Linked DNA regions of Lepisosteus oculatus. The protein of the gene in region 4 binds, or shares a complex with, the protein of the main gene of each other region. Links are inferred from orthologs where the notes say so. Each region holds a gene or a part of one and is shown on either strand. Other genes may lie near its edges.

Evidence for each region.
Region 1: prpf31 (region 4) and lsm5 share a complex: the UniProt entries of both Homo sapiens proteins name them as parts of the U4/U6-U5 tri-snRNP complex. The link is inferred for Lepisosteus oculatus from reciprocal best matches to the Homo sapiens genes PRPF31 and LSM5.
Region 2: prpf31 (region 4) and snrnp40 share a complex: the UniProt entries of both Homo sapiens proteins name them as parts of the U4/U6-U5 tri-snRNP complex. The link is inferred for Lepisosteus oculatus from reciprocal best matches to the Homo sapiens genes PRPF31 and SNRNP40.
Region 3: prpf31 (region 4) and snrnp200 share a complex: the UniProt entries of both Homo sapiens proteins name them as parts of the U4/U6-U5 tri-snRNP complex. The link is inferred for Lepisosteus oculatus from reciprocal best matches to the Homo sapiens genes PRPF31 and SNRNP200.

The regions. Positions count from the first base shown.
Region 1 is NC_090701.1:6,000,863-6,008,114, forward strand, and holds the start of lsm5 (U6 snRNA-associated Sm-like protein LSm5), read right to left. Parts: upstream 3,001-7,252; 5' UTR 2,942-3,000; coding exon 2,896-2,941; intron 1,807-2,895; coding exon of another isoform or gene 1,804-1,806; exon of another isoform or gene 1,724-1,803; intron 1,696-1,723; coding exon 1,600-1,695; intron 1,059-1,599; coding exon 1,031-1,058; intron 472-1,030; coding exon 399-471; intron 1-398. Other genes in the region: late secretory pathway protein AVL9 homolog, read left to right, coding at 4,278-4,361. UniProt on the Homo sapiens protein: Plays a role in pre-mRNA splicing as component of the U4/U6-U5 tri-snRNP complex that is involved in spliceosome assembly, and as component of the precatalytic spliceosome (spliceosome B complex).
Region 2 is NC_090706.1:10,109,698-10,116,967, reverse strand, and holds the start of snrnp40 (U5 small nuclear ribonucleoprotein 40 kDa protein), read left to right. Parts: upstream 1-4,270; 5' UTR 4,271-4,422; coding exon 4,423-4,542; intron 4,543-5,478; coding exon 5,479-5,608; intron 5,609-6,104; coding exon 6,105-6,198; intron 6,199-7,270. Other genes in the region: zcchc17 (zinc finger CCHC domain-containing protein 17), read right to left, coding at 1-33. UniProt on the Homo sapiens protein: Required for pre-mRNA splicing as component of the activated spliceosome. Component of the U5 small nuclear ribonucleoprotein (snRNP) complex and the U4/U6-U5 tri-snRNP complex, building blocks of the spliceosome.
Region 3 is NC_090697.1:70,222,784-70,230,387, forward strand, and holds the start of snrnp200 (U5 small nuclear ribonucleoprotein 200 kDa helicase), read right to left. Parts: upstream 3,012-7,604; 5' UTR 2,779-3,011; coding exon 2,734-2,778; intron 2,087-2,733; coding exon 1,923-2,086; intron 1,307-1,922; coding exon 1,135-1,306; intron 775-1,134; coding exon 582-774; intron 258-581; coding exon 202-257; intron 1-201. UniProt on the Homo sapiens protein: Catalyzes the ATP-dependent unwinding of U4/U6 RNA duplices, an essential step in the assembly of a catalytically active spliceosome. Plays a role in pre-mRNA splicing as a core component of precatalytic, catalytic and postcatalytic spliceosomal complexes.
Region 4 is NC_090718.1:264,646-272,196, forward strand, and holds the start of prpf31 (U4/U6 small nuclear ribonucleoprotein Prp31), read right to left. Parts: upstream 3,001-7,551; 5' UTR 2,859-3,000; intron 2,722-2,858; coding exon 2,497-2,721; intron 2,326-2,496; coding exon 2,265-2,325; intron 2,183-2,264; coding exon 2,099-2,182; intron 1,958-2,098; coding exon 1,860-1,957; intron 218-1,859; coding exon 111-217; intron 1-110. Other genes in the region: serine/threonine-protein kinase LMTK3, read right to left, coding at 4,621-4,736, 5,103-5,202, 5,460-5,800, 6,185-6,357, 6,948-7,084. UniProt on the Homo sapiens protein: Involved in pre-mRNA splicing as component of the spliceosome. Required for the assembly of the U4/U5/U6 tri-snRNP complex, one of the building blocks of the spliceosome.

The DNA.
Region 1 (7,252 bases), on a different chromosome or scaffold from region 4:
ATGCAACATTTACAAGTCACTTAAATGTATCAGTCTGTCCAATTAATTAATATCATGCCAAAACTATTTAATCAATGTCCAAAATCCATCTGCTTTATCCTTCTAAAAACATAACTAAAATGGATGTTTAACAAAGTAAATTGCTGTTATAAAACATGGAACAACACCACATACTTTCTTCCTTAAAAAAAGATTACATTCAAATCTTTAATGTTTTAATGTTTTTAAGTTAACAACATCCAATACAAAAAGACAAATAAGTGCAAGTAAGTAGGTATATCCAGCTTGACAGTGTTGTGGCCTGTCAATTGAGTTCAATTTTAAAGGAATCATTGCCTAAACTGTATAAATCACAAGAAAAGTATCACCATTAGGTTTTCCTTTATTAACACACTTACCATGGTGATGTTGTTTCCATTCAATAAGATCTGATCCAGTTTGGTTATCCTCCTTCCCTCTGGTGTGATCTCACTAAAAAACAAGGCTTCCTGAAATAAACGATGCTACTAATCGATAATCACTAATAGTACAGCCTTAAAATGAAAAGAAAACTAACACAAATAAACAACTTTGTACCCATAAGCAATTCACAAAAATCAAATTCTCTGAAATGAGAACACAAGCGATTTTAGTAATGAAAGGTATTTGTGAATTGTGTTAAGATGACACTATGAATTATTAATTGAAATTAATAATACAACATTGTTGTTGATTTTTGACATTTTTATTAAGATTATGATTTTTTTATATTTTATTTTGCTAATGTCTAAAGGCAATAAAGCTAGAAGTTATTAAAATAGTGTACTCCAGTTCTGTAAAAAAATTACATTATGATCAGAATTTAACTCTTCAAATGCACGAGTCAAGATGTAAATAAAGTAACAGACTTTCTTATGTAAGAAAACAAATTGCAATTTGAATATGCATTAATTCAGTGCTCATTTTCAATGAGAAAATTAAAGATTTTTGCCTGTAACAATCTGAACATCATAGCATTTCTTATTTTAGCATGAACAAAACAAAACCTTACAATTCAGTGACATCTTCAAGCACCATGTCTGAGAATGCAAGTAAAGGAAAGCATGTTTTACAAAGTTAAAACCATAAATTGTTATGTTTTTAGTTTTCAGCAATAGATTTAGTATTTTACATCTTATTATATTTTAACGTAAAACAATTCTGTTATAGACACTGCATTGTGCATAAGCTTTCGTAAAACATATGCCAAGTACAATCTTACTGCAAGAAGTTGAATTTTTATGATGTGACCTTGCTTCACTTTAATGGAATTTTATCTCAGGCAACACAATACGCGAATACTCCACCAGACTGTATATTTTTGTCATGATACAATCTGCCATTCCAAAGAAAAGCAAAGATTCTATTATTCACCAGTTTATGACCCATTTTGAATTACAAAATGTGTCTGTATCTGGTAAAAAGGTTTTTCTTGGATGTGCAATCTTGAAATCAATGCTGAAAAAAGACAACATATTGAACAACCAACTAGCTCCATTACTTATTACTATTGATCAAAACTGTTAGTCTTAACTTCACATGTGATGATATACAACATCCATATTACTGTAAAAAGGATACTGACAAAGTCATCAAATCCCAACAGAGTGCCGACAATCTCCTTGTCGTTCTTCATCACAATATGAATCCGGGAACCAATACATTTGTCCACAAGCTCTAAAGAAGATAACGGGAGGGGAGAGGAGAGAACAAGGAATACTGTGATAAGATTTCAGCTGTTTCATAGAACTTAGCCACATCTGCTGACACTTCTAGGATACTGTAATGGTAAGTTACCCTTGTTATATAAAAACATCAGAATGACACAGGAGAAATCACTAGAACTGATTACTTCACAGACACAAATATAAATTAAGCGGACATTTTTAGACAGCAGCAGTGCTCATGAACAGACTTCAAGGATACGGGGGTTAAACATATTCGAAACAAGTAACATGATCAAAGAATAAACTGCTCCGAAAACAAGTTCATTGGATATCATCGACCTCATTAGCAAAATAAATGACATTTTTTCTTCTAAAATAGGAAAATTATATAAAAAAATGGATTTTCCTCTGCTCACGATAAATACAATGTTTTAATGATGTAAGTCGACACAATCGAGGAAGTTATTGCTGTAACACACAGCGTGAGACGGCAAAGAATAACCATACAATATGATGTGGAATTGTTTCATCTACAAGAAAATAATAATCCACAACTTCGTGCGGAAACTTGGAGTGTTAGAGACGCTGATGCCGTGTACACATATTACACATTGGCATATTACACATTTATTACAGTAAATGCCCTGCTTTATAAACAGATCCATTGCACCATGGAAATGATCGTTTGTTCCCTACTGCCTTATCTGGTTAATTAATAACATGACTAGATGGACATAGCTAGGTATAATTTCACATTAGCGAACATAAACCGTCAACGAACGCTTCTACTTTTTTTTTGTTCTTTCTTACTTTTTGGGAAATATTCGGCTAAACACTACAGCAAAGATTGAGACAGTACCGTGTTTGGACTGTTTAGAAATGGGCCAAGTCGTAAACAAAAATTAGTAATTTACAGGAAAGTTGCGTATAGACAAACTTAGCATTACAGTGCAATGAGGGACAGATACATAACTGCAACTCAATACTTCAATTCATAATTCAAAAAGAACAAAAACGAACGATTGGGTTAATTCACGGACCACCTGCACGTCCTTATTAAAACCGGCCAGTTGGCAGTCTTAGGCTATAGACGCTTGTGGTATATTTTTTAGATTGTAAAATGTACACCACCGACGGTACTACTTAGGCAGGTCTTAGTACTTCAACAACTTCGCGTTAAAATGTTTTGCTTCACGTTTAATTCACATACCAAGCGGGAGCAATTGTGAAGGGTTTGTAGCCGGAGCCGCCGCCATGTTTGAAGGAAGGTAGACTCGACCAATCGAAGAAAACTTCAACGTGCAAATCAGACAGAAACAATCGACACCCGACCGTCACCTAATGTATATTAGAAAACAGAGCGGTGTGATGTTCTTCTGCTCGCACGAGAACCAGCTCAAGTTTTCAAGTTTGTTGTCATTACACTCATATACATGGTATATGGTATAACGAAATGCTATTTAGCTAGCTCTCGGAAATAAATAGTACAAATAGAAAAAAACAACAACAGGCAATGTGCAAAAAACAACAACAGGCAATGTGCAAAATAACAAAAGGGTAACAGGTTATGTGCAAAAATATGCATCAACAGAATAAAAGGGATAGAAATGATGGGGAGTGAGCTTTTGACATGTATGGTAGAGGTAGATTTTCAATGTGTGTTTGGATTTTTGGTAAGAAAGAAAGGAAGAAGGCACTGTGAGGTTCAGATCACAGGTGAGAGGTGAGAGTGAGAGTGAGAGTGAGGGAGGCTGGGAATTTAACTATAGAGGAGCTTCAAAATAATTAACTTCACCGAATAGTGTACCTCAAAGCCTTTTTCCAACTGGCGTGTAAACATCCAATCTTTTAGACGAATTCAAAACATTGGACCGCGGCGTTTGATTAAGTTGACAGTATTAATAAGTATTCTCATGACTGTAGTTCAGGTGGGTAGCTGCGTCAGCATGCGTAGGCTGCAAAGGAACAAGTAATAGGTTTATTCCATGCTGAAAAAAAGAAGAAAGAGAACACAGCGTTTCGGCCACACCTGAAGAAGGCTCCAGGCCGAAACGCTGTGTTCTCTTTCTTCTTTTTTTCAGCATGGAATAAACCTATTACTTGTTCCTTCTCATGACTGTTTCCAGTATTTTTTCCGTTGTTTTAATACCTAGCGAAGACTGCTCAGGCCTCTGCCAAATGACGAATCGTGGTGTGCTTAATCACTGTACGTTTGTTATCTATAATGTCAGGCGATGCGTGTGCGCCCACGGTATGAGCGAATTAAAACGACCAGGTACTTCTGACCATGTGAAACGGGGAGAGTGTTCGCGTGTGGCGCAGTACGTGTACACCGCTACGGCAGCGGCCAGGTGTGCGGCGAGGCTGGACGCGCCAGTTCCGCCTGCGGCCGTGCGGGGGCGCTGCGGGGCGGAGCGGCTCCCCTGACGTCACCCGCAAGGCGGAAGCGAAGCCGCTGGTGGCGGAGAGAGGCGGCCATCAACACCGGCGAGCAGGAGCCCCGCAGGTTCAGATCCCGGCGAGAGTCCGTCTGCGGCTTCCCTACAGCGTCCGTTCGCGGCCGGCATATCCGCGGGGGTGGGGTGGGCAGCCATGGAGCCACATGGGAGAGAGGAGCCCAGGGGCCCCGTGCTGCACATAGTGGTTGTTGGCTTTCATCACAAGAAAGGCTGCCAGGTGAGATGCGGTGAGACAGACTGAGAGGCGGTAAGGCACTGGGAGCCGCACGTTGGGGGAAAATGTTTCCCTGCCGCTGGCGGAGGCGCTTTTGACCACTGCAAAAGCCCGGAGTATGTTCTGGAAAACGCGACGGGGCGCCTTTCCTGCTGGTTGTGTTTTCTCGTTTGCCTGTGGTGGGTGGGGAGTGAGGGCTTGAGTCAGTGTCAGCCGACAGAAATACAGCAACACTGTTTGGAAAGGGGGTGTGGGACTCAGATCGGACCTCGCATCCACAGCAGCGCGATTCGCCCAGCCCGGGTGACAAACTGCTTTCTCAACCGTGCGAGACAGCCCATTTTAAAGCCTGCCTGCGATTATCGCTGATTGCAGATAAAAAAAAAAAATGCAATACTTCCAGGTCCGTGAACGATCGTGCGCGTTTATGGCTCGTTTAGCAGAGAATTGGATATGTGCATTCAACAAGGAACCTTCTGTTGCATAAAGCCAGCCGATGGCTAAATTCAGCATCTTGTGTTTGCAGAGATTGCTTCACTAATGCGGAGCACTGATGTTCTCACATATGAAGAAATCAGTCCTCTATCAGATAAACGGCCGTTTTTCGTGTTCCCGGACATACTGTAGGTCAAAGATTGTGTGTATTTTCCTTTGCTGTACGTAATATCTCAGGTTCCACAAATAATACTAGAGAGCCCCTAAAACAGCTTCTTACAGATAGGCCTGTGCTCTGTAGGGTTTTTTGAAGGCAAATACTTTGTTTAGTCTAGTTATCCGCGGTCTGTTTTCAGTTAGACGTATCTAATTAATTTATCGGTGTTGTCACCACACCACACGACTGCAGAAGCTGTCCTTTCCCCTCGCCTATGTCTAGGCTGCACTGTGATATAGCTGTAAGGGTAGGGCTTCAAAGTTTCGGGCTCAGATCTCAGCAGGGGTCCCAGTGTTGTTCCCCTGAGAACCGTACTTGTCCTGTAAAGTCCCCAGCTGTAATGGGTAGAAACGTCAAGTCCACCTCAGTGTCGAAGAAGGGTCTTTTTGAAAAATCGCCTCCACCGTTTTCTGCAGTACGGAGTGTAAACTGTTTTCAGGATAGGGGAATGGCACTAGCGGAACAGAGTGTGCTTTCATGATGATAAGTCTGACGGAGAAAGTATTAGGTAAGAGGAATATGAAACATCCAGCAAGCTTTTGTAGAAAGACTGCATATTGACACTGACATGTTAGCAGTAGTGTCAGAAAATCCTCTGAGCGCCCTTGTGGTCAGGCCAATTAAAGCCGTGTACTGTGCGAAAGCGCTGATCTAGGCAGCTGAGGGTGTTTCTCTGTGGAGATCAAATTCTATTGTACTCCGTTAGGATCTTGTGAATGGCGATGGGGAAACAAATTACAGAACAATTGCAAAAATATAGAGAACAGTTTCTGATACACTTAGCTCAGAGTAGATTGCAAAACGTTAGAGCTATGTGCAATACGTATGAGTGTATGGATGTTGGGAATTGTGAAAGTGCCAGAGATAAGTCATATTCAGAGCTACTGCTTGCTCCTAAAAACACCAGGACCTGAGGGGTGTCCCTTGTATGTGTGTGCATGTAGATGCTTAAACTTTGCTTAACCGTTTTTATGCTCTTGGGTATAATATCGTGTAAGGTCACTTATTTGCTTGGATGAAAATCAACTTTCAAATGCAGGACAATGCTGCTATAAACTAGACAGTATCTCTTAAACATTTCACTGATGGGTGCCCAATTAAGCTGAAAGTGATTGTGGTCTTTCACTAACAGTTGATAAAGGATCCCTGAAAAGCTCAGGTGCTGCTTGCAGTAACCTGACACTCTCCAAGTTGTTTCCATGTGAATTTGAATGCCACCTGAAGTATACATTTCACTCACCAGTCCACCATGTTTCTGTAAAGCTGTTTGACAGCACTCAGTAGCAGGCTGTAGACGTGGGCAAGGCTCAGCTGAATTGTAAAACATTTGCAAACTGGGCACAGCACATCAGGTTTTCCTCCTTGGTGAGCTGGAGGGAGCTCACAGCGGGTTTTGTTTCAGCAGGGAAAGGACTGACAACGGCTTATCTTTGGCTTCAGCCTGGGAGGGCAGGGGACGTACATCTTTCTGACCACTGCAGGCTTGGAAAAATCAAATGTCTTGCAGATCAAATGCAGTTTGAGATAATTTGGCTTCTGTTTGTTTGTCAAGTAATTGTCAATTCTAACAAGATTGTGGACACAGACTATCAATTAGAAATAACTGGCCTCGGTGTAACAAGTAACTTGGTAAACACAGTTCTTTGACATGTAATTTCTGCCTTAGATAATCTCACACCACTAAAATTAGAACTACCTCTTTATATGCAGTAGGTTGCTGTGGGACTTATACATATCTATGCCTATATATGCTCTAGAGAACCATAACAAATGATCAAGGAACAAGTTATAGGTGTATTCCATGCTGAAAAGAGAAGAAAGAAAACACAACGTTTTGGCCGTGGAGCTTTCTTCAGGTGTGAGTAAGACTGTTGGTAGGGATATAAGGTGACAAAATACTGTGGTGATGATACAGACTTAAATACTTCTCACTGAGAGGAAGAAAGATTCACTTCCAAAATGAAATCAGATCTTTGATAATCTGTGTCTCTGTTACCGCATCAACATAGTAATTCTGTTTTATGCAGTCCAAGACCTGTACTGTATCATTATTTGATTAAATGTTTGTTTTTTAATTTTGAACTAAGTAAAAATCGCGGAAGACTGTACTACAGCATCATGACCACTTTGTGAGCTGATCTCATCAGAAACTGGGAATTTAGCAGTTCTTGCCCCAGTCAGTACTGGGTACGGAGGCCACTTGGGGAATATCGGTTTGTGGCTATAAGTGGTGATTGATATT
Region 2 (7,270 bases), on a different chromosome or scaffold from region 4:
GAGGATACTGTACAGCTCGGGCAGTTCATCCATGGCTGTCCTCTGGTCTGAGATCTATTCTGCTAAACTAATTTGCGGTGTGTGCCTCGACTTCATCTCCTCAGGAAAATTCCTAGGTGAAGTGAAAATAATCCTATTATTCCAAACTATACCTATACATAAAGATACTGGACAAAAAAAAACAGAAACTCTGAATTGTCACTTGACAGGGTGTTGGGCCACCACCTGCAGCCTGTACAGCCTGTATGTGCTAGGACATGGAGTCTACCAGCATTTTGAATTCTGCAGGAGGGATGTGGCGCCATTCTTCAAGGAGAAAGACAGCCAACTCACTCCGGATTGGCAGAGGTGGAAAATGATAACTCAGGCATAGTGCTAGATTATCTCATAACTGCTCACTTGGGGTCCGGTGAGTGAAAAGACCAGAACATGTGGATAACATCAGTGTCTTGCTCAGACCTATGGCCCACCACTCATGCTCTGTGGGTGGAAAGAAGAGCTGCAACACAGGCTGAAGATAAGCACTCAGTACCATTAAGCAGCGATTACCATTGATCTTGCCTTCTAAGGAAATGAGCACACTCAAACCATTCTTGGAAAATGACAAAACCACCAGGACCCAACACAGAACCAAATAATACCCATCTATGAATTGGCCTCATTACTCTCTGCTCTCCTCCCCACTGATAGCTGGTGTGTGGTGAGCGTTCTGGCGCACTATGGCTGCCATCGCATCATCCAGGTGGATGCTGCACATTGGTGGTGGTGGAGGGGAGACCAGAAAAGCGCTATATAAGTGTAAGCAATTATTATTATTATTATCTATCATATCCCATTTCTTCACTGCTCGGCAGTCTAACGCCTGGGCTCGCCAGAGTGCACTGCAACATGGCAGTTGAAATGGGCTGAGATGTGCAGTCAATCGATCTGCAGTTGGACATTACAACCCCGGAATACGCACTTTTCCCACTTTAGACACCGATGCTCTCGAAACATCAGCCCGGCGAGCTGTCAAACGCGCCCAAATATCCACCCCTTTTCCAAAGTCACTGTGGTCCAGTATTTTTAACACTCGCAATCCCAAGCTTACCCAGAGTATTTACATTTTTGTCCACTACCTCAACAATCACACAGGAGCATTTTAGACATCCCAGTTAACCTAGCCAGCATGTCTTATTACAAACTGTTGTAATATAAACCTGCTTCCGAAACGTAGGGACGAGAGTGAAAAGAGTAGCATAACCAAAACTAACTGATCATGCAGCAATAGTGCACAGTACTATTAAACCAAAGGCACATTGCGTCAAACAAACACCATTACATACCAGAACGTCTGCACTTAGCGAAAACAACATTGCAATTTACTGTATTAAATCTTTTGATATAAGACAGAACATACTTCCTGAAGAAAACAAAACTAAGTCACTAACCCACATTCGCATGCCTCAGGAGCTACAAAGAGCGGCAGAGTGCAGTCAGCGCCTGCGTATAACAGGCAGGCTCTACAACCAATACACGGCTCCTTCGCTTTCTGTTCCGGGGTGAGAGTCCGCCTATCGGATTTAAGGGGGCGGGTTATGGCAGTGCGGGCGAACAAGGAAAGGCCCAATTACATAGACGTAAAATAAAAATACTGTAAATATTATCCAATCAGAATCGTCAGTAGCCTGATGTTCTTTTTGCAGACTCTCGCCCTATTGTGTTCGCGGGTGGTAGCTTCGAATACAGGTGATAGGGTGAGAACACGTCGGTTGAGTTTACAAGTTTATTTGATAATAGGGTTTTGATTCGGACTTGAGTAAAAAAATGATGGAGCAGAAGAGATCAAGAAATTAGATGGTGTCCGCGGCTCAGTCCCAGCATCTTAAACAGATACGATTATTGAATTCAAAATACTTCATTCATCCCCAGGGGGTCAATTTAAACAGCAAGCGGTGTAACATGCATCGCGAGTGCAGAAGTAGTTATAAAATCTAGCCAGCAGCCATATCACCCTGCAACTCACAACTGGCAACCCACTGAAACTAAGTGGGTGTGAGCCTGGTCAGTACCTGGATGGGAGACCTCCTGGGAAAAACTAAGGTTGCTGCTGGAAGAGGTGTTAGTGGGCCCAGCAGGGGGTGCTCACCCTGCAGTCCATGTGGGTCTTAATGCCCCGGTATAGTGAGGGGGACACTATACTATAAACAAGCGCCGTCCTTCGGATGAGATGTAAAACCGAGGTCCTGACTCTCTGTGGTCATTAAAAATCCCAGGGTGTTTCTCGAAAAGAGTAGGGGTGTAACCCCGGTGTCCTGGCCAAATTTCCCATTGGCCTTTACCAATCATGGCCTCCTAATAACCCCCCTCTATGAATTGGCTACATTACTCTGCTCTCTTCCCCACTGATAGCTGGTGTGTGGTGAGCGTTCTGGTGCACTATGGTACAGGTGGTGGTGGAGGGGAGTCCCCATTACCTGTAAAGCGCTTTGAGTGGAGTGTCCAGAAAAGCGCAATATAAGTGTATAAGTGTAAGCAATTAATTACACTGACAGAGACTGAAGACCAAGGTTGAAACGGACACTTCCACACAAAGCACTAGGTTGTTTGAAGATTCTATTTTAAATAGTATATATTACAGAAATTACAGACAAATTGGTGGTTTATGCCACAATATACTTTGTTTTTGTCAAGTGTTTTATGTCATGATGCTTGCATTTGTACCCCAAAACACTTGGAAATCTGTGTAGTTTCTAAATAATTGGCACTGATAACCGCTCCTTTTTACTGTCTGGTTTCTATTGCAGTACTTAAAAACAGAACATTTTTTTTCCAGCCACTTTTCTTAATTCAGATTATTTTTCTAAAACTTAATTGCAATGTAAAATACAAATAGTATCATCTACCACGGAGGTGGCAGTTTACTCCAGGGGTTGACCTCTTCGTGGTGCGGTGGCTCTGTAGCTAAGGATTAGCGCCTGTAGCTGGTGGAAGGTTGCCAGTTTATACTGTATCCCGCAGCTGGCAGAAAAATCCTATTCCGTTCGGATCCTGAACAAGGCCCTTAAGCCCTAACTGCTCCAGGGGCGCTCTGACCCCAAGCTTCCCTTCCTGTCTATATCTCCTGGAGAGCAAGCTGGGGTATGCAAAAAGAGAAATCCTAATAAAAGAAATTGTATATGGCCAGTAAAGTGAACATGCACAGGGGTCAATTACTTGTCAAATACTCCCAGGCAGTTAACCGAGATAATTTGACTGTTTGATTAGGCCGTTGACACACTGTAATGAGCACCCCAGCTAAATACCTACATCATAAACCACCAACAAACATTTCCATGCCTATGCTACAAAGAACCTTGCAGCACAAATTCCAACATCCTATAAGCTGACGTAGTAATAATAATAATAATAATAATAATAATAATAATAATAATAATAATAATAAACTTTATTTTATATAGCGCATTTAAAGGTGACTTCTCAAAGTGCTTTACAGAATGACAACAACAGTAAATAAAAAGAATACACAAGATAAAACACAATTTCAATATACAGAGGAGACCATGGATGGTGGTACTAAGAAAAGCAGAGGGGTGAAGAATGGAACCAGTTCAGTAAAGGCTTTTCTAAAGAAGAAGGTTTTGAGTCTGGATTTGAAGGAGCTTAGAGAAGGTGACTCTCTGACATCCTTGGGCAGAGAGTTCCAGAACTTGGGGACATAACAGGAGAAGGCCCTGTCATGTAGACGGGCTTGGGGGACAGTAAGGAGACCAGAATTAGACGAGGGAAGGTTGTGAGGTGGGGAGTAGGGCGATAATAGTTCAGACAGGTACTGAGGTGCCAAGCCATGCAGAGCCTTGTAGGTGAGCATGAGGATTTTAAAGTTCACACGGAATTTGACAGGAAGCCAGTGCAAGGACTCCAGAATAGGAGTAATGTGATCATTTGCACTAGACCTGGTCAGGATTCTGGCTGCTGAATTTTGGACATACTGCAGTTTGTTCAAAGTAGATTTAGATACCCCAGCGAGCAGATCATTATAGTAGTCAATTCGAGAGAACACAAATGTGATCAGCTGTCCGTGCAGCTACGTACACTGTCCATTCAGCTTTTCAGTATAACAGACAGGCATTTCAACCAATACACAGCTACTCTACTTTCGGTTCCGGGGTGAGAGTCCGTCTATCGGACTCTAATGTTAGGCGGCGGGGCGGGTGAAAAATAAGGCGACCAATTACATAAGACGTAAAATAACAACCTCTAAATGTTATCCAATCAGAATCGTCAGTCACCGGAAGTTCTTTCTGCGGATGCTCGCCGCGTTTGTGTTGTTGGGTGCTCTTGGATGTGGTTCGGAGTTTAGCTATTTAGTTGAAAAGGCAACGGTTGTATCGACATATTCATTCGAAAGTAACGTTTTGATTTGAAATTGAGTAAAAAGAAATGATAGAACAGAAGAAGAGGAAGGGAGTAGGGCCAACGGAGATGGCTCTGGTTCCGACGAACAAGAGACCAAGAAATGAGCTGGTGGCCGCGGCTCAGTCCCAGCAGCTCATGCAGATGGTAGGAACTAAAAATACGTTGGCTGAATAATGCGTATAGTTCATTTTATTTTACCGAGCTCTTTGTGTTCTGCGAATTATAGCCTAAACGACACCAACTTGTTATTTACATTCGAGATATGGATGTTTTGACACACTGTACTGTTTTAAATTGAGTTCCGCCTCTTCTTTATTTTTTAATAACACCTGTTATTTGTATTTGAAATCGTGGTTAATATTTGGTAACATCAGTTCATGTTCGTTGAACATTTCAACGGCCTCAGTGCTTGATTTTGCAGTAGTGTTCGTGCAGGTTTTGACCTAAAATTCACCTAAGTTTCATACTAACAAATCATATTTCTGTTTAACAAATCAGATTTATCACAGCAAACAAATTGCTTTATAATCCTAATGCTTAGTCTGAAACTACACTGCATATATAGTATGTGTAAAGTACAATAGACAATTTAAATGTATTAGTTTGTGATCTGATCATTACATCCTGTTTGTGAAACGTTAATTTCTTCTTTGCTTTATATCATTTTTAAAACCGGGCAAAGATTGCAACGCCGAGTCTTCAAAGAAGAAGATGCGAAGGTTGTGACAAAGATGTAGTTTATCGAGGACTCCGGTCCATACACAGGAAGCCTAGTCTTAATTCTAGCTGGGAAAGTTTGTTTTGCCCTGTTTGAAGTTTAAAGATATTTTTTGTTAATGAGAATTCTAAAACATATCTGTAAAAGTACATTCTTAGAATACATTTTGGAATTGGGGAAGGTGTTCAGATGTATATGAAATCGTTTGCTGAACACAGGATTGTGGATGCAAAAGCCTCTCGTCTTAAAGACAGTCCTGCTCAACTGGAGCTGATTAGATTTTATTGTGCTCTTTGCATGAACTTCTGCCCTGAATATTATGGCTAATCTGACTCTGTACCCTCTTGTCTGTGTAATCACAGGGCCCCCCACGAAGTTCCAGTTTGCAGGCTCCTATCATGCTTCTCAGTGGCCATGAGGGAGAGGTCTACTGCTGCAAGTTTCACCCCAATGGGGCCACGCTGGCATCCGCAGGCTACGACAGGCTGATCTGTGAGTACTTGTGATCAGTTTCTTTTCCTGAGGTAATAAAAACACATGTATTAGTTCAGGTGGGTAGCTGCGTCAGCATGCGTAGGCTGCAAAGGAACAAGTAATAGGTTTATTCCGTGCCAGGGAAAAAAGAAGAAAGAAAACAACGTTTCGGCCGTGGCGTTTCGGCTCTTCAGGTGTGAGCAAATCGCATGCATGTTTGGTGTGTTGCGATTGGAGTAGAAGCAAAAGGACACTTAGACTGTGTGGCCAGCCTCTGTTCACCAGACCCCTAAAACAATTCTTTACAAAGTATGAGAGAGTACGACTTCACTCTTGTGTTTCCTAGGAAAGACTCGATTGAATACGATTTGTTCAAGGAATTTGAAAATCTCCTTATTTTTTTTTGATGAAGCAGTTGCATGTCCTTAGGGGTTCAGTACCCAAGATCATTTAAAAACAGTGTGTACAGAACATTCTCGGGCTTAATCTATTTTTCTGCTATTTTTGCTTTCAGTGCTATGGAGTGTTTATGGGGATTGTGACAATTACGCCACTCTGAAAGGCCACAGTGGAGCCGTCATGGAGTTGCATTATAACACAGATGGCAGGTAATGTATATATACCTAAATTGTTTGATTTCTACAAAGGTTCTCCTTAGTTAAATAAGAAGATTGTGTTCATATTAATGGGTTTTTTATTCATAAACGTTATGCAGCAATGTAGTTTAATTCCTCTACTTTTCAACAGTACGTTCTAGGTCCTTTTGTGTTGCTTACTGTATGCTTAGTTGAGAGCTTATTATTACTTTGAATCTGAGCAATCTAGCCTGGCAACATCTCACACATTGGACACCAAAGCTGTGTACTTCAAACAGTAGTTGATCAGCTGACTGCTGTGTGTGATTCTGGATTTAAACTTTATTTAGAAGATTTTAAGGGGCAATAGTACACGGAATCAGATTATTCACATTAATCTGTTACCTGTATCATTATTGTACTTTCAGCATTCCTTTGGTTCTGTTAACATTTCTAGACTGGACACCTCACAGAAATGCTTTAAAAAGACAGTATTATAGTGCAAAATAGAGCTGAAATGTGCCCGAGCTTCATAATCCTGTATAGCTGGGAGAGTGGAATAGCAGGGGGTGATATGCCATAATGATTCCCAGAATGACAGCTGCACAAACACAGCCATAACAGTGCTCTAGACACAACAGCCAGAGCTCACCATACACGGCATGCAGTATAGGTTTGATACAAACCCATATAGAAACACAGAGTTTAAAAGCCCAGCCCTTCTTCGAGCTTTAGCTAAACGTCTGTTTTCTCCTGTAAATCTGGCAGCTAAGGTGCTTACAAGCTACAAAGCAAATCTCTCTCTCCCAAAGTCTTTCCCAAAAATAATCTCTGTTCCAAAAATTATTCTTGTCTTTAAAAACTTTTGTCACTCCAGTGGCCGGTCCTTCAGTCACTTCCTTCTCCTTCTGATGTGGGTTGTGTAGGATTCCCTGCTCTCCTTCTACACAGCAGAGGCAGGTGGCCAACCCGGAAGCATCAGATTCCTAGTTTTAAATGTCACCAACCAATTGTCTTGCTCTGATTGGTCAAGTGATTGAAGATGGCAGTTCATTCCCCACATAACCCTCACTCCACAGCATTCTGGGGAATGTGGTTCAGACAA
Region 3 (7,604 bases), on a different chromosome or scaffold from region 4:
CTACTCATTTTCACCCGCCACTCAGAATTCCCACTTAAATCTTGGGACACATGGCACCCTGGATATAAATTCCTCCAGGTCATATGCCATTTCAACTTTGAATTTTTCTGCCCATTTTGTACTCATTTGTATTGGGATTCTTGGGGGAGGGAAGCCTACAGCTCTTTATATTTGGTAAGGTTAGATGTCACATATACTCACCTCTTCATCAGACTCAAACTGTACATTGACACCATACGTTTCATCAATATTGTCATCTACAACACAAAAATGGTAACATGAAAGATTATCAGGAGAGAATGCACATACAATATTGTTCTGCGACACATCTTTCCTATCCAATTCCTATAAATGATAAATCCATTTAATTTTGTATTAATCCTAATCTAGTAAGCTTCAATACTGTAGGACTGGCACACACCTACAAATCATCAATCACTATTAAACAAAACAGGTGTTTTCACCCATTAAGATCAAGAACCAAATATAACAATGCAGGCTTAAATAAAATCCACAAGGCCGCAGCTCTCCAGGTTCTAGGCTAGCTGCCCCTGTGATAAAGTAACAGGTGGACTCTGTACCCATATTCTGGAGCTCCTTGTCTCCTCCGTAGTCGCTGATCTTCTTGCCCAGGTTGACCAGCACATGGTAACGCGTGTCGTCAGTGGGACCCAGCAGCTGCTCAATCTCCTTGCGTCGTTCCTTGTCTCTCATCTTCTCGTTCTTCAGCACAGCCAGCACCTCGTCGGCTGCCCCACACAAGATGTCTCTGGGCTTCAAGGACATTCAAAATGCCTGATCAGTCACAGGGAAGAAGCCTCCCTCATCTTGACATTTTGCTTTGAAAATGCTATTAACCCCCATCTCTTAATGTTCTAGTAAACACTCTTAAAAGCTATGTTACAACCCAATGTAACTTGTTAATATTCTGAGATGGTGCCAATCATGACAAAAATCACGATAAAGCAGTAATATATAAGTCATTAGGCAATAGGATGATAACATTTTGTGATGAAGCACATACACCACAACACACCTTGCAAACATACCACACTGTGTTGCAGAAAAAAACTTCCTAAAGCTTCCAGTAATGTGTCAAAACACCACAAGAGACTACTGAAACACGCCCCTCACCTGGTCTCCCAGGGCAGCCTGGATGAAGCTGAGAAGAACCTCATAGGTCTCCCTGGTCTCCTTGGTTTTGGGCTTGTAGACGATGCCCACCATCTCATCGATGCCCTCTGACAGCAGGGTGAAACCCTTCATCTTGTTGATGTCATGCCGGTCCTCATCTCTCTTCCTCCTCCTGCACGAAGAACAAGTGGGCACAGGGTCGTCAATCTCCCCTGAACCGCTCAGCCAGAGCCTCAGCAAACAGGATCCCACACTCTTCCATTAAAGTGGGCTTAAACACTGCAGGTGCCTCAAAGGTAACTCTGCACACGATCAGTCCCATTCTGTAAAACTACACACAAGGACTATGTAGTTCCAGTCCTTGAGGATTACAAGGCTAGCCAAACCTGTCTAGAGAGCCAGCATCACAAAAAGCATCCACTGATCTATTCCCATTTTACCACATGCACATACACGATTAAAAAAAACACACCAGCATTCAAAAGGTGTATATTTACACGTAGTAATGTACCCAATACTGAATTTTCTACATATCTTTATTGTATTTCCTTTACCAGGACATTTTATTTTCAAGTGTTTTTTCCAGGTCTACACGTTTCCAGGAAAAGCCTGCACCGGGAAATCTGGCTATATTATGCGGATGGCCATGTTCACAAACATTTGGCCACTATGCCATGTTTACACACCACATGCTCATAAAACAAAAAAACTCTTCAGGTGGCAAACACTAGTCCCAGGACAGCAAGGAAAGACTCTGAACTCGATCTATTAAACCCATATGGTCTTACTTGGCTCTTCTCTCCTCCAGCATCTGTGGCTTTGTCCTCTGGGACTTGTCCCCCATCTTGGTACCATCCAGCTTTCCCACAAGGGACAGAACCTCACCTGTGGGCTCATCGCGGCGAGTCCGGTCGATCAGAGACCGATCTGCTTGCAGTACAAGATTAGAGTTCTGTTCGGGAGAAAAAGAAAACATTCAGGCCACAGCTCTGTATGCATCATAATTTTAGACCAATACAAAGTACTCTGAACAGATGCTGCGTAAATATCAGTGATCAGATGAGGCCCTACTGGCTCCTTCACTAACTCTATACCTCCTCTCATTTCTTGCTTCCGACTCACCTATTGGGATCTAAACCAACAGCAATGTCAAAACTTGGAGACCCAAGGAATCTGTAGATATTCATTCTAGGTCAGCTCTTAATCCTAATCATAATTATTGGCTTAATTGGCCATTTAAACCTCCCCGGATCTTTGATTGCTGCAACTTCAAAGAAACCTGCTTAATACCAGAGCTTCTGAGGCTCTGGTACAAAATAAGAGGGGCTTATGTCAAAGCCAAAGTATGCAATGGAATAGCGCAAACTAAGCAACAACTCACCTTTGCTGCATACAAAGGTACACAGACCTCTTGTAAACAGAAAAATCAGCCCTACATTGGGAACTGAACAGTCCCATCTCACCCCACACTCGCGGCGTAGGGTTGCAAACGTTTCACTTTTTCCAGCTTGCAATGCAAAACTTACAGAACGCCACAAGCTCGAATACAACAAAAAGTTATAGTTACATTTGCACTGGCGCGCTGTTTGTGCTACTTACGGCTTTGTACTCGTACTGCAGGCTCCGAGCAGTTACATCCGCCATGGCTGATCCGGCGCTTCACACGCCGACCTCCCCGCTCAAGCCTACCTCGGCAGAAGAAAGATAAGATATCTGTTACGTCTGTAAACGATTTCGTTTTGTATCCAGGGATCTCCCTTACTTTTACGGCTACAGGATAACTGTTTAGAGTATTTAGGAATTAATTCTCAGCCCCCCTCTACTCTGATCACTTCCCTCGCGTTGGCTGTGCGTTTCAAAAACACACACGCCACCGGGCCCACTGCGCAGATCACTTCCGCTTCCGGGGCACGGTAAAAGTAACTTGTCATGTGGGGAGGCGGGAGGTCAGGAGTCCAAATACGAGGTGCTGGACTGTGCTACTGAAAAAAACAAATAGCGAGAATGTTGCAGTATAACATGAGATGCATATGTCTAGTATTGATTATGAATCGAAAACAGTAATTGCACTATTAAATTGAGGTGTGATTATGTTACTTACACGGTTTGGATCAGTACTTCTTTATTTTTGAAGTATAAATAAGATTTTAACAATCTGAAGATGTTTTAATTTGCTTGCAAATTATCCCTTTATCACCGGTTGTGAACGTAACATGATTTAAATGACATTTTTTATGAGAGTTGGAAAAGCCATACTGTGTCATGGGTAATTATTATGCTACTTTGGTCATTATTAATATTAATAATTATTATTAATCATGGTACTTTTTTGACTAATAATGTAACCTTTGTCCCAGGTTTCGAGGACTTTGAGCCAGGAAAGGTGCCCATGAGCTAAAGAAATATGAATATGTAACTTGAAAACTAGCTTTTTTCAGATTCTCGAGTGTTCCTTAATTACTGCAGGGCACCAAGACAGACTCATAGTATTTTAAAAATCCCTGTTGGAGCAATTGTTTGTTGTTACTCATAATTTTAATTTTGCTTGGCTTCTGTAGATTGATTATGTAACACCCTAATACAGTTAAGTCAATAATAAGATTTTAATTATAATATACAATAATCTTTCCTGCTACCGGGGTGATTTATCTGAAGATGTATCATTTGAGCAGACTGAAACAATGCATTTGTAAACAAGAGAGAATTTTTTTTTGTAAAATGCAAAAAAGAAAATGTTTAAATGTTTCTGAGTACAACTATTACAATGTCCTTGTAACTCCAAGATCATGAAGAATTGGTATACTGTTCTGTGTTTGTTGAGATCATTTGATGTAACTCCTTTTTGCACCACACAGTAATTTTCTGATCCCTCCTGTGATCTAAATAGCACCCTCATTGTTTTCATCCTCACCTGAAGCTCTTGCATCTCCATCAAGCGAGCGCCTGATTGCCTCTCTGTGCAATTGTTCCCTTAGTAGGTCTTAGCTAACAGAGATTTGCATACCTCATTCACAGAGTTCAGCCTTCATCCCCCTCATCTCCAATTTAAATTGAAATGCAAACTCATCTTATACAGAGAGAACCTGAACAAATACCGAAAGAGATATGAAGATGAATAGACAACTATTCTGTGAACAAAGAGCTAATAGTCAGGTGTGGTCACATTATTTTATTTTTTAAGAGGTTAATTCACAAGACCTTGATAGCATTCAAGCCTTTGATACGTATTGCAACTATGAAAAGGCCATGACAAACGGACTTTTTCCAATGCATCCATTTTCTAACAGCTTCTTCCAATCCAGGGTCGCAGGGGCGCCGCAGCCTCTCCAACAAGCAACAGGCGCAAGGCAGGGTACATCCTGCACAGGATGCCAGTCCATTGCAGGGCACACAGAGTCACACACTCCCACCAGGGCCAATTTTCCCAGAAGACAACCTACCACTCTTATTTTGGTTTGAGGGAGGAAACTGAAGCACCCAGAGAAAATCAATGCAAACACACAAACTCCACACAGATAGCACGCACCACTGTGCCACAGCTCTCGTCACAAAAGCATATTTTGTTACTTACAAACAACCACTATAAAATAACTATTTACATATGAAAGTCTTAACTTAAAAGTACTGTATACAAGGAGGAAAGAGATGATGGGTATTTCTTCCCTATATCTACACTATTGACATTTAAAGCACAGATATTGCAATCAATTTTAACAAGAGCAGTATGGGCCCACATCTACACCAGCAGGCCAGACTAACTACAATGGAGCTCACATTTGTCATAAGATTAGGGAAAAGAACCGTACAATTTAGGGGAGAAATGGAAAGGCAAAGCTTTTTAATACTTCTCCTGTCTGTTGTTTGTGACCGGAGACGATCGGCCAATAAAATTAAGAAAGCTTGGTTACAACCGTGATGTGCACATAAGCACAATAATTGAAACCATGTGATGAGTAGGACCTCTTACTTCTGCTATGTTTACAAAGGAATAAACTTAGGTCAGGTTCACACCTACAGTAGAAAAAAATAACAGCCCTTCCACATATCAACAAAATATGTTATAATATGCCTTTTACATTATAACAGAGCAAAGTGACAAAACAGTTTGGAGGCTGACACCAACTGTTTAAATCTGGAGTGGGTTCAAAGGAGTATCTAATACTGCAAAGGAACAAGTAAGGGTTAATTCCATGCTGAAAAGAAATGCCCGTACTAGTAATGTCATTTTAAAACACATAGGATTTGCTCTATGATTCTGTGGGATTATCTGTGGCTATTTTGGCTTCAAAGCTCATTTGCATTGCTAAATATTTCTCCAGGAATGATTAACACTATATTGGTAAGGCTTTCCAGTCTTTCTCTGTCTTTGTGGGTTGTTTCTAAGACATTAACTCTGACTTTTAAAATTCATTATAATGCAGCTCATACAGAAGTATTTAACCTGCATTCATATATGCATCTTAAATAATTCTCCATCCTCAAGCTATTGCATTCAGTAATTTTTCTTGTCCTTTGTCCAGTATGTTCTTATTTAGAAGAAAACAATTGTGAGATTAAAGCTATGTGGAGCCCTGAACCATATTGTATGCACTTTAAAAATATCTTATAACACAGTAATAACATTCTGTTCCTACAATGCATACACAGTAGGTTTCTGTGTCACAGGGTACTAAAGCAATGCATATAATAGGACATGTATACATCTTATAGAAATTCAGCATAGAATTTCACTTTTAGTTTGCTCTAAAAGTGCTGGAAAAACCTTACAGGACCAGGGACACTGTTAAGGAAATTTGGCATAGCTTAGTTAATCTTTTTATTCAGCCTAGAAGGAAACATAATACTGTAGAAGAGGAGCTGATTTTTTAAAACAGTTTATTTATTTTTTTCAATGTCGAAGAAGTTATTAAAATACACACAAAGACTGGGATTTGCACACAACTCATATACAAGAAAAGAGAAAAGAATCCAGTTAGGTTTTACAGCTTTTTGAGAACAGTTTTTTGCAGGAAAAATGTAGCTGAGAACTGACAGGTTATTTCGAGTGCATGCTTTTAATTAGCACAGGCAATCACATTTGCTGTGTGTGCTCCTTTTAAACAAATTCTTGACATAAAGTCAAACATAGCTTTGTCCCTCCTTGTCACCTTGTGTTATTCAGTAGTGCCCTTGTCAGTAGGCATATTGTAAGGGTGCTGATGCTCTTTGAAAGTGCCAGAAGGACAACCTTTAATACTGAAGTCATTACTTTTCAAAAGAGCAATGGAGTAAAAAAAACATCTCGTTTCCAACACTGCAACAGAAATACTCTGCTTTGCACTGACCACCTGCCTGTGTGTGAGGAGGAAGCGCTATAGACCCAAACTCTTGTCCAACTCACATCCGTGAGACCCACTGTGTCTTTGTCCTAATGAATCTTCCAGTTGCTGGGTTAACCATTTTCCAACTTTTAAAATGTGACAGATTTCAAGTGGCCTGTCAAATCACACACGTACGTTAAAAGCTCCGATATTTCGCATCATATTTTCTAATTGAAATCTTTTTTAAAATGTCTTAAAAATAACTTTAAATGAATCATTATCTGATTTAATGGCACCAGGATTGCTTTAAGGAAAAGCCAAGGGCAAAACAACAGAAGACCAGTGGCCTGGGTGTACTCTACCAGCCTATTGCAAATGCCAAACCACTTTGGACTTGTGTGTCGCCACACTCCCTACAGGCTCCAATGTAAAATTAACAACTACAGTTCCTTAAATAAGTTCCTTAAATATTCAAAGTGCTTTTCAAACAGGAGGAAACACTTTACCTCCACCACCGAAATACAGAAGCCAGCCACTTGCTTGACCTTCGGCAGCCACTATCCAACAGCTGTCTAACTACACAGCAGGTCGGGTGAAGATGTAAGAAATTTAAATTAGGTTTTTTTGGTGTTTTAGAATATGTTATCCCAGAGTGGAATTTATCCAGGACCTGCCTGGGATCTTCTAATGGTCAAGGAGGTAGGGATGTAGGAAGTATCATCTCATACATCTTATCAAATATCACTGATGTAGGTCATAACCGTAGAATGAACAAGACAGAATTATATATGTATGTTAATTTCTCAGTTTCATTAAGAATACATGAAAAAAATACACATTTATTCTAGGTTTAACTTAAAATGCCTAGGCATGATGAAACAAAGTAGTTGTAGTTGTGTGCCTAGGCATAATTTGTATTTTTATTGCCTGACTGGCAACCCAGAGAAAGGACATCTCACACCTCCAGAGGTTGTGTGCACCCCAAGTTATGAGCCACCGGTCTATACCATTCAAATAGCTTTTACACTGTAACATATCACTTAGTTGCAATACTATTTCGATATTCTTCACCATGCAAACATCTGACATAGTCTTGGCTTGCGAGAAATGGGGTCTTCGAAACAAACTACAGCGACCACATAGGTCTGCCTTTCCCACTTGTATTGCAAC
Region 4 (7,551 bases):
CAGGAGTCCGTATGACTCCACACGGGGATACAGCACTTCAACAGGATCATCTGTGAGTCAGTCAGTCACTCAGCCAGCGGTCAGCGTGCAACCATGCTGCTCAGTCTCACCCCTGCGTTGTGGAGGCCGTCACACTGACCACCATGATAGTTGCGTTGGTCAGGATCTGCTGCAGCGTCTCGTTGTTTTTACACTTGTCCAGATTGTTCCCCAGCTCCTGAGACCAAGACAGGTACACGCACAGACCAGGATCACACTCGGTGATTACACTCATAAAAGCCCTACACACATAGGTCTGTAAAAACAACCTCCATGAACAGAAATTCTTTCCCAACTTTACAAATCTAATCCCAGAATTCCCACACCTGCCAGAAACACAAAAACTCCCAATCCTACTGGGAGGGGCAGGAGAGAACTCAGTTGAACTGGCAGCCCAGTGTGTGAGCTCCTGTCCCAGCCTGAGGAACAGACAGTGAGCCTGTCTCAATAATAATACAGTGTGTGAGCTCCTGTCCCAGCCTGAGGAACAGACAATGAGCCTGTCTCAATAATAATACAGTGTGTGAGCTCCTGTCCCAGCCTGAGGAACAGACAATGAGCCTGTCTCTCAATAATAATAATACAGTGTGTGACCTTCTTTCCAAGCCCGAGGAACAGACAGTGAGCCTGTCTCTCAATAATAATAATACAGTGTGTGACCTCCTGTCCCAGCCCGAGGAACAGACAGTGAGCCTGTCTCTCAATAATAATAATACAGTGTGTGACCTCCTGTCTCAGCCCGAGGAACAGACAGTGAGCCTGTCTCTCAATAATAATACAGTGTGTGACCTCCTGTCCCAGCCCGAGGAACAGACAGTGAGCCTGTCCCTCAATAATAATAATACAGTGTGTGACCTCCTTTTCTAAGCCCGAGGAACAGACAGTGAGCCTGTCTCTCAATAATAATACAGTGTGTGACCTCCTGTCCCAGCCCAAGGAACAGACAGTAAGCCTGTCTCTCAATAATAATAATACAGTGTGTGACCTCTTGTCCCAGCCCGAGGAATAGACAGTGAGCCTGTCTCTCAATAATAATACAGTGTGTGACCTCCTGTCCCTTGCTGAGGAAAAGACAGTGAGCCTGTCTCTCAATAATAATAATACAGTGTGTGACCTCCTGTCCCAGCCTGAGGAACAGACAGTGAGCCTGTCTCTCAATAATAATAATACAGTGTGTGACCTCCTGTCCCAGCCTGAGGAACAGACAGTGAGCCTGTCTCTCAATAATAATAATAATAATAATAATAATACAGTGTGTGACCTCCTGTCCCAGCCCAAGGAACAGACAGTAAGCCTGTCTCTCAATAATAATAATACAGTGTGTGACCTCTTGTCCCAGCCCGAGGAATAGACAGTGAGCCTGTCTCTCAATAATAATACAGTGTGTGACCTCCTGTCCCTTGCTGAGGAAAAGACAGTGAGCCTGTCTCTCAATAATAATACAGTGTGTGACCTCCTGTCCCAGCCTGAGGAACAGACAGTGAGCCTGTCTCTCAATAATAATAATACAGTGTGTGACCTCCTGTCCCAGCCTGAGGAACAGACAGTGAGCCTGTCTCTCAATAATAATAATACAGTGTGTGACCTCCTGTCCCAGCCTGAGGAACAGACAGTGAGCCTGTCTCTCAATAATAATAATAATAATAATAATAATAATAATAATAATAATAATAATACAGCGTGTGAACTCCTGTCCCAGCCTGAGGAACAGATAGTGAGCTGGTCACGCAGTTTAAGCTCAGGAATCTGAGACGTTAGCCAGGCCCAGATCAACAGCACCAGGGACTCCAGTCACAGTCAGTCAGGACTGAGGTTCCTACCCTGACAGTGCGGATGTAGTCCAGAGAGTTTGGCACAAGAGACTCCAGTTCTGGAAACCTCTTGGAGTACTTGTCTCGCACGAACTTGTGGATGATATCTGGGAGAAAGAGGAACAGCAGGACAGAGGGGGAGATGGTCAGTGTGGAAGAAAGGACCCACAGAGCGCACAGGACTGCGAACAGTGGGCACCCCTTTGTGCTGAGAGTCGTGGGAGGAAGGCTGCAGGCCGGACACTCACTGAGCTCGTTGTCGATCTCCACGGTCAGGTTGTTGGCGTCCACGATCAGCCTGTATTCCGGGTCGGCCTCCACCGGCCCAGAGACTGTGTGAGAGAGGGAGGGAGAGTCGGGTCAGAACAGACTTGCCAGCACAGCATCACGCCGGCGCCACCCACTCGCTCTTACCTTCTGAGGTCTTGCGCTGGTTACCAATGTACTGACTGATCTTCTCCATTATCTCTGCAAACTAGAAAGACAAAGAACAGAGGTATTTCACAGCACAAGTCACACCTCGTCAATCACAGCCTGAGAGACACTGAGCCCTGAACTGTCTTTCTCTCACACACAAACCGAGCCCTGAACTAACTGTCTCTCACACCGAGCAGTCTGCAGTCAGGCGGATACAGGCGGGACTCACCGACTTGCTGTGTCTCAGCTTGGCGATGGAGGTGACGCTCTCTGTGCCGCTGTAATCCACCTCCATCTCCTCCGGGATGTCAGCCAGCCCCCCCGGGCCTTCCGCCCCACCCTCCCCATCGCTGTCCGCTCCGTCGGCCCCCTCTGCCCCCGGGTACAGACCCGGCTCGTCGCCCTCGTCTCCAGCCTCCTCCAGGTCCGCCAGCAGCTCGTCCGCCAAAGACATCTGAGAGAGAGCAGAGCCCCAACAAACCCCTCATCTCATCAATCTTAAGAGACTCGGCTGAAACCGCAGAGTCCTCTACAGCAGCGCTCCGGGGACTGAAACACTCTCCGCCCCAGCGAAAGGAAGCGATCTCTTACCTCTTCCCCTTCTTTCTGCTTCTCGGGTGGTCAGATAAACAAACCAGGTCCGGAGATCTAAGCGAAAACAGTTCGAGCTTCACAGCTTCCAGCACACCGACCGCACAAACTGCGTCACCTCCCGTCGCCGGTTGATGACGTCACAGTCGCTCTCGCGTGGAGGCCTAAAAGAACGCGTTGTGCCCATGTGATTTCTCCAGGTTACGCAGCGTGAGATTAGTGACGTCTACTGCACTGGGACTGCAGCTCCTATTGTAACAGGACTGTTCTACTGCACTGGGACTGTAGCTCCTATTGTAACAGACTGTTCTACTGTACTGGGACTATAGCTCCTATTGTAACAGGACTGTTCTACTGCACTGGGACTGTAGCTCCTATTGTAACAGGACTGTTCTACTGCACTGGGACTGTAGCTCCTATTGTAACAGACTGTTCTACTGTACTGGGACTGTAGCTCCTATTGTAACAGGACTGTTGTACTGCACTGGGACTGTAGCTCCTGTTGGAACAAGACTGTTCTACTGCACTGGGACTGTAGCTCCTATTGTAACAGGACTGTTCTACTGCACTGGGACTGTAGCTCCTATTGTAACAGACTGTTCTACTGTACTGGGACTGTAGCTCCTATTGTAACAGGACTGTTCTACTGCACTGGGACTGTAGCTCCTACTGTAACAGGACTGCTCTACTGTACTGGGACTGTAGCTCCTATTGTAACAGGACTGTTGTACTGCACTGGGACTGTAGCTCCTGTTGTAACAAGACTGTTCTACTTCACTGGGACTGTAGCTCCTATTGTAACAAGATTGTTCTTCTGCACTGGGACTGTAGCTCCTGTTGTAACAAGACTGTTCTATTGCACTGGGACTGAAGCTCTTATTGTAACAGACTGTTCTACTGCACTGGGACTGTAGCTCCTATTGTAACAGGACTGTTCTACTGCACTGGGACTGTAGCTCCTACTGTAACAGGACTGCTCTACTGTACTGGGACTGTAGCTCCTATTGTAACAGGACTGTTCTACTGTACTGGGACTGAAGCTCTTATTGTAACAGACTGTTCTACTGCACTGGGACTGTAGCTCCTATTGTACAGGACACTGAGTCTAAGAACATAAATGAGAGTCTAGAGATGTTTTAATAGAAGACAGTACAATTTATTTTAATCAAACTTCATTAAATGTGTCACAGTTCCGATCTTTTAATTTGTACAATATATTTTGAAACCAGCTCGTTAAACAACGCAAGTTAATTGACATTAATCAACAAACAGAGGAGAAACAAGACACAAACACAGACAGCGTCAGTAGACATCTCAGCAACAACGATTGTAAAAAATGGTTTATTAAGACCAAGAAAGTAAATATTAGAAATATGCCGTGATCTCCTCTCCCAGACCTGTTCTTCATATTGAGTTATTAGTCCAGCTGTGCAGGTCCAGTAGAACCCAGTTCTAGTACCAGTACAGGCACAGACATGGGCCCGACAGAACCCTAACTCTTCGGCCTGCAGCACTAAAGCGGTCCGGTGCCGACAGACGTGACCCTCCGACAAATAAATAAAACTGCTTTTGATCATCGACCTCTTCCGACACCGACCCCCACGCTCCTCCACAGCTCCTGCCCCAGGGGCTCGAACCCGGGGCCTCAGAGGTAACACCGCCCTCCCGGAGGTCAGAGGTCAGAGGTCGGGAGGAGAGGGACCGGGGCACGAGCGGGCGTGGCCGGCGGGGGGGGTGGGGGGGGGGGCGGGCACTCGGACGCTCAGACTAAATGGGGGTCATGGGCGGGGCTAACAGTGAACCGGGACGGCAGCGCCGGCAGCCTGGACTCCGCCCCCCCGACGCCGATCACAGGGTCCTCTCTGGCGCCTCCGACACCTAGTGGACAGGAGGGGAATAACAGCAGTGGATTCTGCAAAGCAAACAACTTCTCCTCCCTGAGGAATCCTGTGCCTGAAGAGTCCCCCTTTCCTCTCAGCATGGAGCAAAATAATCTACCTGTTTCCCTGCTGTTGCAATACACAATTACTGCAGCTCCTGCTGTAATAGGACTATTCATCTACATTGAAACTGTAGTCCTTAATTGACACACGGATACCATATAATAACCAGTTCACTGATATACAATAAATTACCACACGTAGAGAGTACAGTATCTATAGTCCAGGCCAGGATCATATACTCATCTAGTTATTAATGAGACACAAGGTGTTCAGGGCAGGTTACTAACGTAACAGGACCAACCCAGTTCCTGTGTCCTGGAGGCGGGGTCTCCTGTGACATCACAGGAAGGGGTGGGGCTGGTGGGGGCAGAGCCAGAGCTGAGCTCATTTGTAGGCGTTTCCTGCAGGGAGGGAGGAGAACAGAGTGTGAGACTCCATCAGACTCGCCCAGTGTTTCCACACACAATGGGATACACAAGCAGAGAAAACATACAGTGGCACACACACTGACAGTACTGATGGACACACACAGACAGTCACACACTGACAGTACTGATGGACAGACTGACAGTACTGACGGACACAGACTGACAGTCACACAGTGACAGTACTGATGGACACAGACTGACAGTACTGATGGACACACAGACAAACGGACCTGATCAAAGAGATAAATGGTGACATCATCAAAGAAGGACACATTGCGTGATCTGTCTCTCTCGCCCTCCCTCTCTCTCTCCATCGGCTCACGAGGAGACTTCAGCAGACTGCGCAGGCCCAGCCGCCTCTCCACATCTGTCTCCGTGACAACGATCACCCGCCCCGCCCCCTCCTCGTCCTCTTCCTCCTCCTCCTCCTCATCTGGGTCACTTCCTCTCCCTCGGCGACCTACCCTGACCCCTTCTTCAGCCCCTTCCCAGAATCCTCTGCAGGGGTTGGGTGAGACAGGGAGAGAGAGAGCAAGAGGGGGCAGGGAGAGGGAGAGACGGGCGAGCTTCGCTGGAAGAAGAGAAACAATGAGAGTCACACCTAGATAAGAGATTAATACAGACCCCAGAAACACTCCTCACACAGAGAGATTAATACAGACCCCAGAGACACTCCTCACACACAGATTAATACAGACCCTAATACAAACTCTAGAGACACTCCTCACACAGAGAGATTAATACAGACCCTCATACAGACCCCAGAGACACTTCTCACACACAGAGATTAATACAGACCCTAATACAAACCCCAGATACACTCCTCACACACAGAGGGATCAATACAGACCCTATAGACACATTTAGCATGGAGAAAGTTTAAAACAGATACCATTTATATATACACAGAATGTGAGCTAAGAAATTGTATTTTGTCCTGCACTGGGAGTCTTACCTTTCATTGATTGGTTGGTAACAGGTAGAGGAGGTGTAACCCCTGCGTCTCGTCCAATCATGACAGCTGGATCACTGACAGCAGCGTCGATATTCTCCACCTTCCCAGGAAGCTGTGCTGGGTGAGACTCAAAGTTGCTGTCCTTGGGACTTTCAAACGTAACATCACATCTGCTGCAGACAAAGGAAGATGAGATGAGCAAAAAGAACGAAAATGGTCACACTCATGGGTGATCAATAAGTAACTAAACTTTAACACAACATGAAAATAGAGAATTTATAATACAATTCTATCACTTCTCAGAAGGCTATTCCTCCTCACATGGCAGAGGATGACTGCCCAGGTGAAACGTCTCTCACCAGGGTGTAAAAACAGCTCTAAGAAGAATGATTAGACAATTTAACCACTCAGCTTGATAAGCGACAGGATCCAAAAATTAAGACCAATGTAGGACAGAAACCTGAGTGATCAGCGATTATCTCCTGCTGGGTTATTTAAATCTAAGTAAATCAAATAATTTAACTTCTCCTTTCACTCCTCCCAAATTTGGAGATACTAGTTTCGCATCTACATCTGAGAGCAGGCATCAGAGGGAGGACAGCCGCAGCTCTCCCTGACAGAGGTGGTTCGGTTCTAGAGCATCAGCACCAGCATCGGGATCTCACAATCGGACACTAGCCATCCGTGAGAACCAGGACTTTGACCGGCTGTGTGTAGCTATGCACTGTGTGTCGCTGGACTCCCGGAGCCCTGTGGTCCTCACCGTTCCTTCGTGTCCCTCTCTCTGTCGTCGGGCTGCCCCCAGGGCCGGAGCTGTACTGCCTCGCTCACCGGCGCCCCCCACAGGACGTTTCTGCTGACGTTCTCGCTCAGGGTGAACTGCAGCCTCTCCTGACAAACCTGGTGGAGAGCGTGTGACTCAAGACAGTACAGAGGACAGGACCCTACATCAGTGCCGGCCGGACACTGCGGCACATCGACCCCCACAGACTGGACACTGCGGCACATCGACCCCCACAGACTGGACACTGCGACACATCGACCCCCACAGACTGGACACTGCGACACATCGACCCCCACAGACTGGACACTGCGACACATCGACCCCCACAGAGTGGACACTGCGGCACATTGACCCCACAGACTGGACACTGCGACACATCGACCCCCACAGACTGGACACTGCGGCACATCGACCCCCACAGACTGGACACTGCGACACATCGACCCCCACAGAGTGGACACTGCGGCACATTGACCCCACAGACTGGACACTGCGGCACATCGACCCCCACAGACTGGACACTGCGACACATCGACCCCCACAGACTGGACACTGCGACACATCGACCCCCACAGACTGGACA